Linked DNA regions of Drosophila melanogaster. The protein of the gene in region 2 interacts with the protein of the main gene of each other region in a pairwise test. Each region holds a gene or a part of one and is shown on either strand. Other genes may lie near its edges. The genes, in order: lbl, CG4328 and grh.

Region 1 (3,756 bases), on a different chromosome or scaffold from region 2:
ATACTCTTAGTTAGTTGTTTGTACAATAATTTGTATCAAGGTGATGTGTTTTCCAAACGAAGATATTATGAGGAATAGTTTTCCCAGTGACTCCCGGCAGTTTCTGTTTTTATTCCGAGTGTGGGATAAATCGGTTTGCGTCTGCGACTTAACGAGAAATCAACGCCGCTAAGCAAATTATGCCGAACGATACGCATGCGCCAAAGCCATCAGACATCAGCCATCAGCTGGAGTCTGAGTTCGAGTTGGAGCAGCAGCTCGCCGCAGCTAGAGCATCATCATATGACCGGGCTGGGGCCTTCGAGTGGATCTGGGTATGGGTATGGGACTGGGACTGGGTCTGGGTCTGGGAAAGGCAATTGCCATCAAAGGCGATGCCGAGCGAGCTGCCAGCCGGCTGGCCTGAAATTGATTTAGCCACCTCGGACGAGCAGGCTGACCTCACTACTGTTTTTACGCCTTAAGCAGAATCTCATCAAGACGTAATGACAACAATTGATCAATCGCTGGCCAGGCTAATGGTTATGATGGGTCTCGTTGGGAAATCAGTTTATATTAAAATGTAATTTGATTGCGGTTGTGCACACAGAGGTGAACGCGGAGTAAGTAATTCTACAGTTTGTGGATATTTTTATGTTGAAGATATTCCAATCATATATAACAAAAAGCTCATATACTCAGGGGTGTTGATAAAACTTGAGAAAAAGCTGATGAAATATCTATTATCTCTGCACTATAATTTTGTTTGTACTTTTTTACATATAGTAAATATGAAGAATATGATTTTTGGTTGTCCACTGGGTTCCGCAGTTTAAAAGCAAAGTCTTCTTCTGTTTGGATTTAGAGGAATATATTTTCTCTTGAAAACTACTCACCCTGCTCTTCGTCAAAGTTTTTGGTGGACAGCTGGAAGAGGGCATCCAAGGGAGTGTCTCCACTTGATTTGCTGGCCCCCTTTGGTTGTTCCTCGGGCGACTTCTTAGGAACCTCCATTCTGTCCTCTTGGGAACGTTTTTCCACTTTTTCCGCCTGGGTGGGACTGCAGCATTCGGTGCTGCCATTGCTGCTGCTTGATCGCTGGGAACGCTCTGAACTGCCGTCCTCGGAGGCAATGATCGCGGGATTCAGGGTCATCTGCCGGAGGAGTTGCGCCTGTGCCTGGAAGTGCTCCTGGAGCTGGCGCTGGTAGTCCCAGGCCAGTCGCTGCTCATAGCTGTGGAGCAAAGCGGGCGATAAAAATGTATGTAGTGCAGCCGGCGGAGGGCAATTCGGCACCAAGGGTATTTGCAATCTTTCGTTGATCAGAGCCAATGGAGCAGGTACTCCTGGTAAAGCATTGGGAATGGCAATTCTCTCCGGCTTCTTCTCCACACGATCCTCTTCATGCCCTCGCCCCAGGATATCGGCAATGGAAAAGCTCTTGACCCTGACGGGTGATGACTTTTGGCGGTCATGTTCCAGGCTAATAGGACTCCTCAAAAGCCGCAATCGTTTCATATTCAACGATCTCAGAGGCGGTGGACTGGGCGAACCCACCGAAACATCAGAGTTAGCGGGACTGGGAGTTCTTTGCGGCATCTCTAGGTGTATTTTCCTTTGGCCACTCAGCACATCCTGGCTGTATCCTTACGGCTTAGCTCCAAACTCTTTTCTACGGGCGATTAAAAACGCGTCGGCAAAACGCGCGGCTGTCACACGAAAAACGTCGGCACAACGTGCAACACAAACACCAACAACGAAAATGGCTCGTGGCCAGAATGCGATGCTAATGCTGCTCGGCTCTCTGTCTCTCTTTCTTGGCCAAGCTCTCTCAACTGCTTTTTGGGGCCTCCAAACTGGTTGGCACCCATGACGTCACGGACTCGCGCAGCTGCGCAGCTTGTCTAATTGGAAACGCCGCCTCGCTCTCGCCAAGGGGGCGTGCCAGCAGAAAAGAGAGAGATGGAGAGAGGGAGAGCTAACCAGAGGACCAATAGCAGTTGGTCGAGGGCCATACAGACCCCCTCACCCGACCAAAAGTCGCTGTCAACGTGCGAACGTCATTAATTTGTACAATTTGACATGCGCTCTCTTTCCTCCCTCTCTCTCTCTCTCTCATTCTCGCTCTCTCTCTGGGGCGGCACTATTTCCCTCTCTTTCCCGTCGCTTTCCAGGCGACTGACTGCGTTAATTATCGTAATTGTTGGCTCACCCGCTTTTTCGCAGCTCTCTTTTGGCCCACTCAATTGTCATCAATAATGATGTCTCGTTGTACCGTTGGCTTCGACTCCTCATCTATTTTCCACTGGAAAAACAAGCCTCTTCGAATCCGTGTTTCGAGACCTCTGATGCACTGGGAAAAACAGTTCCCCGAACTGACAATCCTTCGTTCAAGAACGTCTTTTTGAAAGAGGTTTATTTGTCATAAATAGATGTGCCTATGAAAAATATTATAGTAATGTAAAAATGTCTTTCTCCCTCAAACTTCCTCAACATAAATTAAAAAGCGAACGAATTCTGCACCTCAAAAGTAATAACCTATAAATGGCACAACATGACAGTTACTTTGCTCTTCACATTTATTACTTGTTAACTTGAGATCGTTGTTAGATCTAATAACTAGCTGCATCTTGTTAGTTAGTTAGTTTCTCTACACACAATTTATGATTATATTATTTTATATTTTCCCATTTATATTTCCATTTGTTTAAGTGCATTTTGCTGGCACACATTCGTTTGTCTTGCCACTTCCCTCGCTTCCCACTCCACAGCTCAACTCAATGCATTTCCAAATTGATTGCAACTTTGGTCCGCTCGTTGTATCACGTATGCGCCCTGTATGCGCCTCGCTTCGTTTGTTTGTCAGTGTCAGTTTTTTATTCAATTTCGCTCCGCTGTTTGTCCTGGTTTTCTTTTTTATTTCTCGCTTTTCCTTGAATTTTGCATGCAAATGTCTATTTAACTGCATTGCGCCCTTTGCCGGTGGGAATGTGACTGAAGAGTCGGCTAAGTGAAATGATGTAACTGGCGAGCCGTAATCGATAATGGGTTCTACACTGCCCTTTGAAAACGAGTATAATTGATTATTTCGAGATGGGAAAAGAAATCAGGGGAAGTGGCAATTTCAACAAATTTGTGTTTGTATCTGTTTATTAAAGCGCGGAGCATCAATTACCAATGATTATTGGGCTCATCAAGGGCTTACAACAAATTGGACTTTTACACTACATAGTATGGGCAAATTAGCTTTTAATGTTTAACGTATAAAATTACAAAATAATAACTTGATCCAGCAAAAGTACACAGGTACCCAGCTGACAAAATGAGTAGCACAGTATGTTAATATAAAATCCAGTTTATTCAGTCTCTTGAAAGGGTGTTGTTTAGATGTATTTTACCCGAACCCTACATCGCAATTTATGACGCTGAATTTGCATAAGGGCCCTTCTCCAATCCCTTCGACTGCCCCCTATTTTGGTGGCAAGATGGCCGCGATGTTTGATTAATGCCTACACTTGACTGACTAAAGTTGACGAGCCAGGGCATTCTCTCCTTTCGCTTGCCTTGGAAGTGAGAAATTGACGGGGCTTGGGAACATTCGCTATCGCTATTGCCTTCATATTCAAAATCAATTATAAAACGACTCTTAATTGGGCGCCTCAATAGACGAGACACGCCCTGTCAATCATAATTAGCCATCGCCCCTAGGAAGCGAACCACTCGAGCCGGCACTCAAATCCATTCCCATTCAACCGATCCGACACGCCTCTAATTCTG
Region 2 (3,756 bases):
ATTTTGGCTTTATAAACTTTTCAATATGCTACTTATTCATAGCAACTGAAGTCTCCAGCAGTGTTTAACCCAATTTCCAAGGTCCTGATCTCCCCATTCCCGATACCCATTAACTTGTGACACTTGGAACTGCGGGAAGCTATTTCCTAAGATGTGCAGCGGAATAATCCGCTCAACAACCACACCTGTTACACTTTTAGTGCTCTGTCATTGCCATTTGACATTTGAAAATATACCAACATGTTTGCCGGACATGTCGGAGAATAGAGCTCGAGGATTTTGGGACGACAAGTGTAAAGCCGACATTGATAGCACTTCCACTTGCCCACGCTCTAATTAGATTCTAATGTGCAGTGGAAATCGAGGGACGGGTTGCAAATGCCACCCCTTGCAGTGCTCATAACTATGTAGATTATAAACGAATTTCAATGAATCCGGGGGCTAACCGAGGGCATTTAGCTGGCGGATTTCCACCCTTACGGAAAATATGCTCGGGCTTAGCAAATAAGCATGAGGATGAGGCTGGAGGGGATCAGGATTTCGGTTACGGCGGCTGGCGGCTGGCTGCTGGCGGCATATGTTGGCAGTCGACGACAGTGAGTGGGTAAGCGGAAACCCTTGGAAATGCTTGCCAGGATGTCGGCTGCGCTGCCAGGATGCTGTGTGCTGCCTCCGAATCCGCTGTCAGTTGCCAGCAGTTCGCTCGGCAGCAACTGACAGCGCTTTATTTAATCGGATTTGAGTAGACAATAGAGTTATGGTGCCATTGCCGTTTTGTTGTGCCAGCAATCGCAGCGCAAATGCTTTGTTTTGTCCTAATCTCTGACAGAAGTCAAAATTTGCTTTGCTCTGGAAAATATGTTGTAATTTTCATTGGCTTTCAGCCAGTCGGATTCGAGTGGACGTGTGTGCAGTCGGTCATATGCATACTTGCCACTCTGGGTGCTAAATAGCATTCACTGAAGGCAAATTGAAGCAAAAGTGTTGAGATGCAATGTTTAAACTTGGGATTTGCTTTGTGCGAAGTAGAATTTAGCAAGAAAATGGCAAATTTTCACAAATAATTCATCTTTGGTTTCTAATAATTTCATGTGCAAAACTTATTTATGCTGCTATTAAGTTAGTATTTTTAAAACCAATTCAACTGAATAAAATTTGTATAAAATGTGCTGATCTCTTTGACTGTTATAAATCAAAATCACTAATGGCCAAAACGAAAATCCACTTTATACCTTTGAAAAGTGTGCAATTGTGATATCACAATTACCGATATAACACATGATACATGGTGGCTTATTCCTAATTCACTTATCTAAAGGTATTTGATTTGAGCTAATCACTTGATGCTAATATTTAAACTATGATTAAACTAGAGAAAAAGTGAATGAAATATATGCACTCTTCTACTTGAAGCTATTTACATACCATAAATTAATGAGCACTTTTTAACATAATTAATAAACTGATAGAAAAATGCCGACGGGATTGGGAATGTTGGGCTTGTAATGCCGTCGGTTATTGGAATAGATTCAGACTTCATATTCCTCGGGTTTGCCCATACTTACACATTCCGATCTGCATGGGATGGTGTTCGTCGATCATTTTGGAATCGTTCAGTTCGGGAATAGAAAAACTATATAATCACGTTCACAGACATTTATGAAATTTTCTCAGGGCTTTTCACGCGATTTTCCTACGTATCTTTGCACATTTTGTGAGCACAGCTTTCAGGACGCCTAAGGACACATTTGGGGACTCGAAATGCAGTTGGCAACTGTTGTTTTGGGGCGGCCAGTATCGGACTTCTGACCTGGCCCTGTTACGAAACGCGATGCTTGAATGATTACGGACCTCTGATGTTAATGAAATTTGTTAAAAATCATTTGCTCTTCTTTGGCCAAATGCACAAGCATCTGCTGCCGAGATAGGAAATTCTCTCCAACCCGAAGGAGAAGTGCCCACTGTTTGCCTTTGTGTGTGTGTGCGTGTGCGCCATTTTATGGCACATCCTGTGCTCCCATATCCTTTTTGGCTCCATCCCCGTGCAAGCCATTGAGAGCCAGCCATTTGCCTTTCCCCAGCTTCCGTGAGATTCGCCAGCTTTTGGCGCATGCGTCGATCGGAACCCCCATATCATACCATCTCATCTCATCTCATGCGTTTTAATGCCGATTTTGAATCCGGGTGGCGCTTCTGAGTTGTTTTGGCTTTTTGTGTTTTGCTGGTTTTGTTGTTGTTGTTGTTGTTTGATTTTTCATTTTGCACTTTTGACTTTTGTCTTTGTCTTTGCTCGTGGGCACATTTATTTGTTTTGTTGTACGTACGTATTTTGTATTGACAAAAGGATGTTTGGCTCGGCGATTTCTTGCTTGCTTTGTCGCCTCAGCAACAACATCCCCGCCCCCCCAAAAAAAAACAGGACTCTCCCTCAATGGCTGGAATTTTGTTGTCCTTCTTTTCTTATTTTTATTTTTACCGTGTGTGTGTGTGTTTGTGAGCTGGCTAGGATTTTATTCCCTTTTCCCGCAGTGGCTTGTACATTTTAAATTTATTGATTTTCGAACGCTATAAAAAGGACTAAGCTTAAAGACCAGTCCCGCTGCTTTAATTAAGGTTTGCGGCCCAGTGTCCAGGAGAATTTTGCTCAAAGAGCTAGCTGTTAATGAGGGTGGCCGGTGGCCCTTTAAACCTGGCCAAAATGAATTTTCTGGTCTATTAAACCGGGGCGCCAAAAACTTTAATGTCTAAGCACTTTGCCGGCTGACTGTATGTCTAGCTTCCAGTTCAGAGTTCCCAGTACCCAGTTGCCGAGATGAGGACTTGTCTGGTCGAAACTCCTGGCTCTTGGCCTCTTTTCCGACGAAAATTCCCAGAAAAGTTTCGTAAACGCGAACGTGTTACTCACAATTAGTGTGCGGGCGAACCATTTAACTGGCAACCAACCAGCCATCTTTCGCTTTCCCAGCCCACTTTTCCCAACTCCGACGATGATAATAGTTATGTGCGGTAATCTTTGCGATTCATAATCAGTACACGGAGCACGGGGATGTGCAGGGAATTTAAAGGACAATGGAGCTACATTAAATGCTTGATCCTGGGGGATTTTGCGATGGGTACTTCTTTTGTTGTGCTTCTTTTATATCAGGTAGGAAACATGTAATTTCTTAATAAAGGAGTGACAATAAATGTTGGCATTTGTTTAACTAAGTGCCAAAAACAATTGCTAAGTAATGCAAGATTTAAAAATACATTTTTATAAAAAATTGTAAGATCATTTAAACTGTATTGTGTAATTCATAATAATTTATTTTGTAATTATTAATAATTGTTATTTTGTTTAATTTGTTCATTTACTAACTGTTAACCTTATATATTTTTAGTTGGCACCTTAAACGATATCTATGTGTATTATGTTAAATCTTATAAATAATATTTATTGAACAATATTCTAAGAAATCTATATTTGTAGCTGATGATGATGAGTAATTGTTGCAGTTCTGTTGTGATGTTGTGATTTTGAAATTTTCATATACATTTCTCTCTCCTCCCTTCAGCTTCATCTCGCAAAGGCTTCCAAACTTTTGGCACTTTGTCTACGCAGAGCCTAGACATGGAAACTCAAGGGCGGCGGTTTTGGAGGCACCACCGCCTCCATCCCTGCATCCATCCATCTATTCCTCCATCCATCCCGAAATCCCGATGTCATCGCCTGTGAGGGGCCTTTAGATCGCATACCACTCGACACTTGCAGTTGGG
Region 3 (3,756 bases), on a different chromosome or scaffold from region 2:
TACATTAATTTTAGGCAATCAGGTTAGACAAAAATGTCCTGGACAAAGGGACGCGCGGAGGGATGGAATGTTTGTTTGTGAATGCTTCTCTTCGGTTTCTTACTTTTGCATAACGGACAGATATAAGACTTTTTGAAGAAAAAAACCAAATATATAAGTACATTTAATGCGATTGTTGTTTGTTTTTAGTTATATACACCGCCACACTCGCACACAAAACACACACACCGATACATGCATACATATATATACTACTTAGCGGTATATGTACAAAAACGTAATCAAGCATTAGTGAAATGTTTCGACCAGTTAAAAACCACAAATTAAATTTATTACATGAAAATCAACTAATGTGTAAACGCAAAAACGGCAAAATCAATAAATAAAAAATGGATTAAACTAAGCCTAAATTTAGTTTTAAACATTTAATATATTGCAACAATAAACCGAAATGAAAATAAAACTCAAATTCAAACTTGAGATGCAAGTGTTTGTAATTGGGCTCCTGGAACTCAACATATTACATTAAATATTTTTAATTTTATCTTTATTTATTGTTACTTATCATCATGAATGTACTTTTTAAATATTTACTGTAAAATTGCATTTTACATAAATATTTTACATTGCGTAGAATGTCTAGTGCTTCAGTGAAAACTAGCGCCCGCTGCTTTACGTTCTTAACCACAGTTCCACGCGTGCGCAGCGCCAAAAGACAAACAACGTGAATTGGTGAGTGCGGGATCCAAGTGGGGGGAGCTCGGAGGAAAGGAAGCTGGGGGGAGTCACCCTTTACCATGGCGGAAAGCACACAAGCACCGTCCGTCGGTTCGTCCGCCGATCCACACGACACAGCGCTGATTGCCGCGCCGCCTGGCGAGGTGAGGTTGTAGGAGCCCGACTGAGGTTAACCGAAAGCCAGGCCGAGAGAACGGAACAGAGAGCGGCGGAGGCTGCGGCGGCACGGCAGCTACTTGGCGTTTTCGATTGTGGTACATGCACAACTATTTTACGTATGTATGCCACACGGAGAAAAAAATCCTTCATTTCACAGTGCTAACAATTCGAGTTGATTTATTTGATTTTATGTTAAATATATGCAATATTCGTAAATTTTTTTAATATTTAATCATACAAAGTGCTTTAGTGATTTAGCTTGTGTATAGGAAACCTATCAACAGTATTTTATATAAGAATTAAGAGTTGAACTATATTAATTATCTGAACTGCTTAACCGCGGAATAGTTTTCAGAAAGTGCATCTTTGTATCCAGTAATTTTTTGCAGGGACTTCTCTTGGCATGCGGTGATCTCGGTCTTTCTCTCCACCTCTCTCCCGCTGTTGTGTGTGTTTGTTTCTCTACCTGATGCCCGATTGCACTACCACTTTCACGCGGTTTACAAGCCGAATGACAACAACAAAAACAGAACAACAAGGCGGCGAGTTCGAAAGCGAAGTAGAGTGAACCGAGCAGCGAATTCGAATTTTCGACGATGAATGCAATGCCGCAGCACAGAAATAAACGCAAAGTCCGGGAGATACGAAATGCAGGAGCGGTTTGCCCGTGTCGAGGGTGGCTGTGGCTCTCTTTCTTGCCCTCTCTCTTTCTCTCTCTTTTGATCTGCCATCTCCCTTCGCCGCAAGTGCATGCTGAAGTGGAAGGTTCGTTGCCTAAGTCTTTTGTACCTGCCTGCGTTTCGGCCTCTGCAGGTGCACCCACACACACACACACAGATGGAAGCACTGGGCTACCTGTGTTTTAGATCGCACTTGTATGGGTGTTTGGGAGTGTAGAGACAACATCATCGATTCGAATGAATTTGAGTGGCGCTGCGCTGCCGGCGTCGCTGCCGCGTTCGCTCAATATCAGTTACGAAAGAGATGAAACCATAAAAAGCAATAATAATCGAGCGCTCTCTAACCAGCGCCGCGAACACAGACATCACCTTGCCACCAATACAACTGCACGACGACGTCGGCAGAGGTGGCAGCAGCGGCGGCAGCAGCACATTCAACAGTTGAACAATCTCCAATTGACTCTTTGGGCATTATAGCCAAGAGCCGAGATCCAGCGACAGCGACGACAAGTTTTCCGCGCACACGGAAAGTCAGCAAGTTAATACACCGAAAATATATAGTTTCAAATCCGACTAATCGTTTCAAATCGAAATTACCTGTGAGTGCGCGTGTGTGTCGCGATATTTGCGAAAAATCCAAAAGTTTCTACGCCAAACAAACAGCAAAAAGTCGCGCTTAAACTTTTTCGAAATTAAATAAAACACACACACGAATTTCAGCCACGAAGAGGAAGAGAAGGCTGAAAAAGCGAAAAAAAACCTCGTGTGTGTGTGCGTGTGTGTTGAGTGCGAGAGTATCTGTGTGTGTGTACGTGTGCATGTCTCTCGGAGAGCGTGAGCTTAAAGTGTGCCTGTGTGTGTGCGCTTGCGAGCTGGAATGAGACGCCATCAAAGCTGAGCAGCGAATAATAAAATGCAAAATAAAAATAGTGATTAATAACAGCAGCCAGAACCAGCAGCAATAACAAATGCTAGTGCGGAAAGCGCGTAAAAAATAGTGAAAATACTCATAGAAAAATAGAAAAAACAACAACAAATTGGCTTGAAAACGCAAATGCCAGGCGCAACGCCCCCGAACCGACCCGCCCCCTCAACTTTTGCGCCCTCCAGTAGCAATAGCAGCAATATGAGCAGCAGCAACATCAAATGTTAGGCCAAAATGCACAAACCGCCAGCAACAAAGGCAGCACCAAGCGAACGAAACAACAACAGCTCCACATACCACAAAGAGTGGCACATTAGAAGCGGCCAAAAGCAGCCAGCCGAGAGCATTGTGTAAGCCAAAGGCCCAGAGAGCCAGGCTAAAAGCCCCCAGACGCACAACAACAACAACAACAACTAAAACAGCACAAAGAGTGGCGAAAGGTGCACCCACCAGCAAAACAGCAACAACGGAGCAACCAACAACAGCAGCAGCAGCAGCAGCAGCCACATTTCAGTTACAGCTCCAGACTCCCAGGTTGCAGACTCCCAAAGCAAACAGACTCCAGTCCACGATCCAGCTCCAGTTCCACCGATCCGATCCACTGCTCCAGCGTGCTCGAGTGCCATAGATCCTCACCAAGTGCCAAAATCCGCATCCTGATCCCAAGAGCTCAAGGCACCCCGGCCCAAAAGTGAGTAGTACTTAGCCTACCAAGAAGTAATTATAAACGCATCAGGCTATGTAGCCCTGGTCGGTTCATGGAGGGATTACACCGTCAGAAATATAGCACCCTATTGACCATTTGGTTTTCGGCTTATAGATCCCTTTTTTCGGGAGATTCCATCACAATAGCTGGTATTCCCAATAAAGAGAGCAATAAAAGCGGGCATTTTTTGGGCACTACTAGGGTGTAGAAACTTTTCAAAAATAAATATTTTTCAAAACTTGATATTTTTAAAAAACATATGGTATTACCAAACTATAAGATATATTTTAGCTAGATTTATACATAGTACGTCAAGTTGATTCGATGGAGTTAATAGAAAAATGGTAATTGGATATTATTTCGATATTATTTGACAACGACAATCTCATAGAAATATTTTTAAACAATTTTGCTGGAGATGTAGGCATAAAATCCATTTAGTTCGTGCGGTTTTAAATTAAAATGCATTCTGCATGTTTTTTTAATAAGTTTTATTATATCTATACGGCTAGGCATTTTAAATGATTTCAAATGTATTGAAACTAAAC

The links.
Region 1: the proteins of CG4328 (region 2) and lbl interact in a two-hybrid assay, tested with the Drosophila melanogaster proteins (one large-scale study listed by BioGRID).
Region 3: the proteins of CG4328 (region 2) and grh interact in a two-hybrid assay, tested with the Drosophila melanogaster proteins (one large-scale study listed by BioGRID).

The regions. Positions count from the first base shown.
Region 1 is NT_033777.3:21,432,390-21,436,145, forward strand, and holds the start of lbl (ladybird late), read right to left. Parts: upstream 1,745-3,756; 5' UTR 1,579-1,744; coding exon 876-1,578; intron 1-875.
Region 2 is NT_037436.4:12,294,269-12,298,024, forward strand, and holds the start of CG4328 (uncharacterized protein), read right to left. Parts: upstream 1,856-3,756; 5' UTR 1,603-1,855; coding exon 1,566-1,602; intron 1-1,565.
Region 3 is NT_033778.4:17,800,199-17,803,954, forward strand, and holds the start of grh (grainy head), read left to right. Parts: upstream 1-2,047; 5' UTR 2,048-3,193; intron 3,194-3,756. UniProt on the Drosophila melanogaster protein: Transcription factor that binds a CNS-specific regulatory element of the Dopa decarboxylase (Ddc) gene. Also interacts with sequences adjacent to other transcription units, including Ultrabithorax (Ubx) and engrailed (en).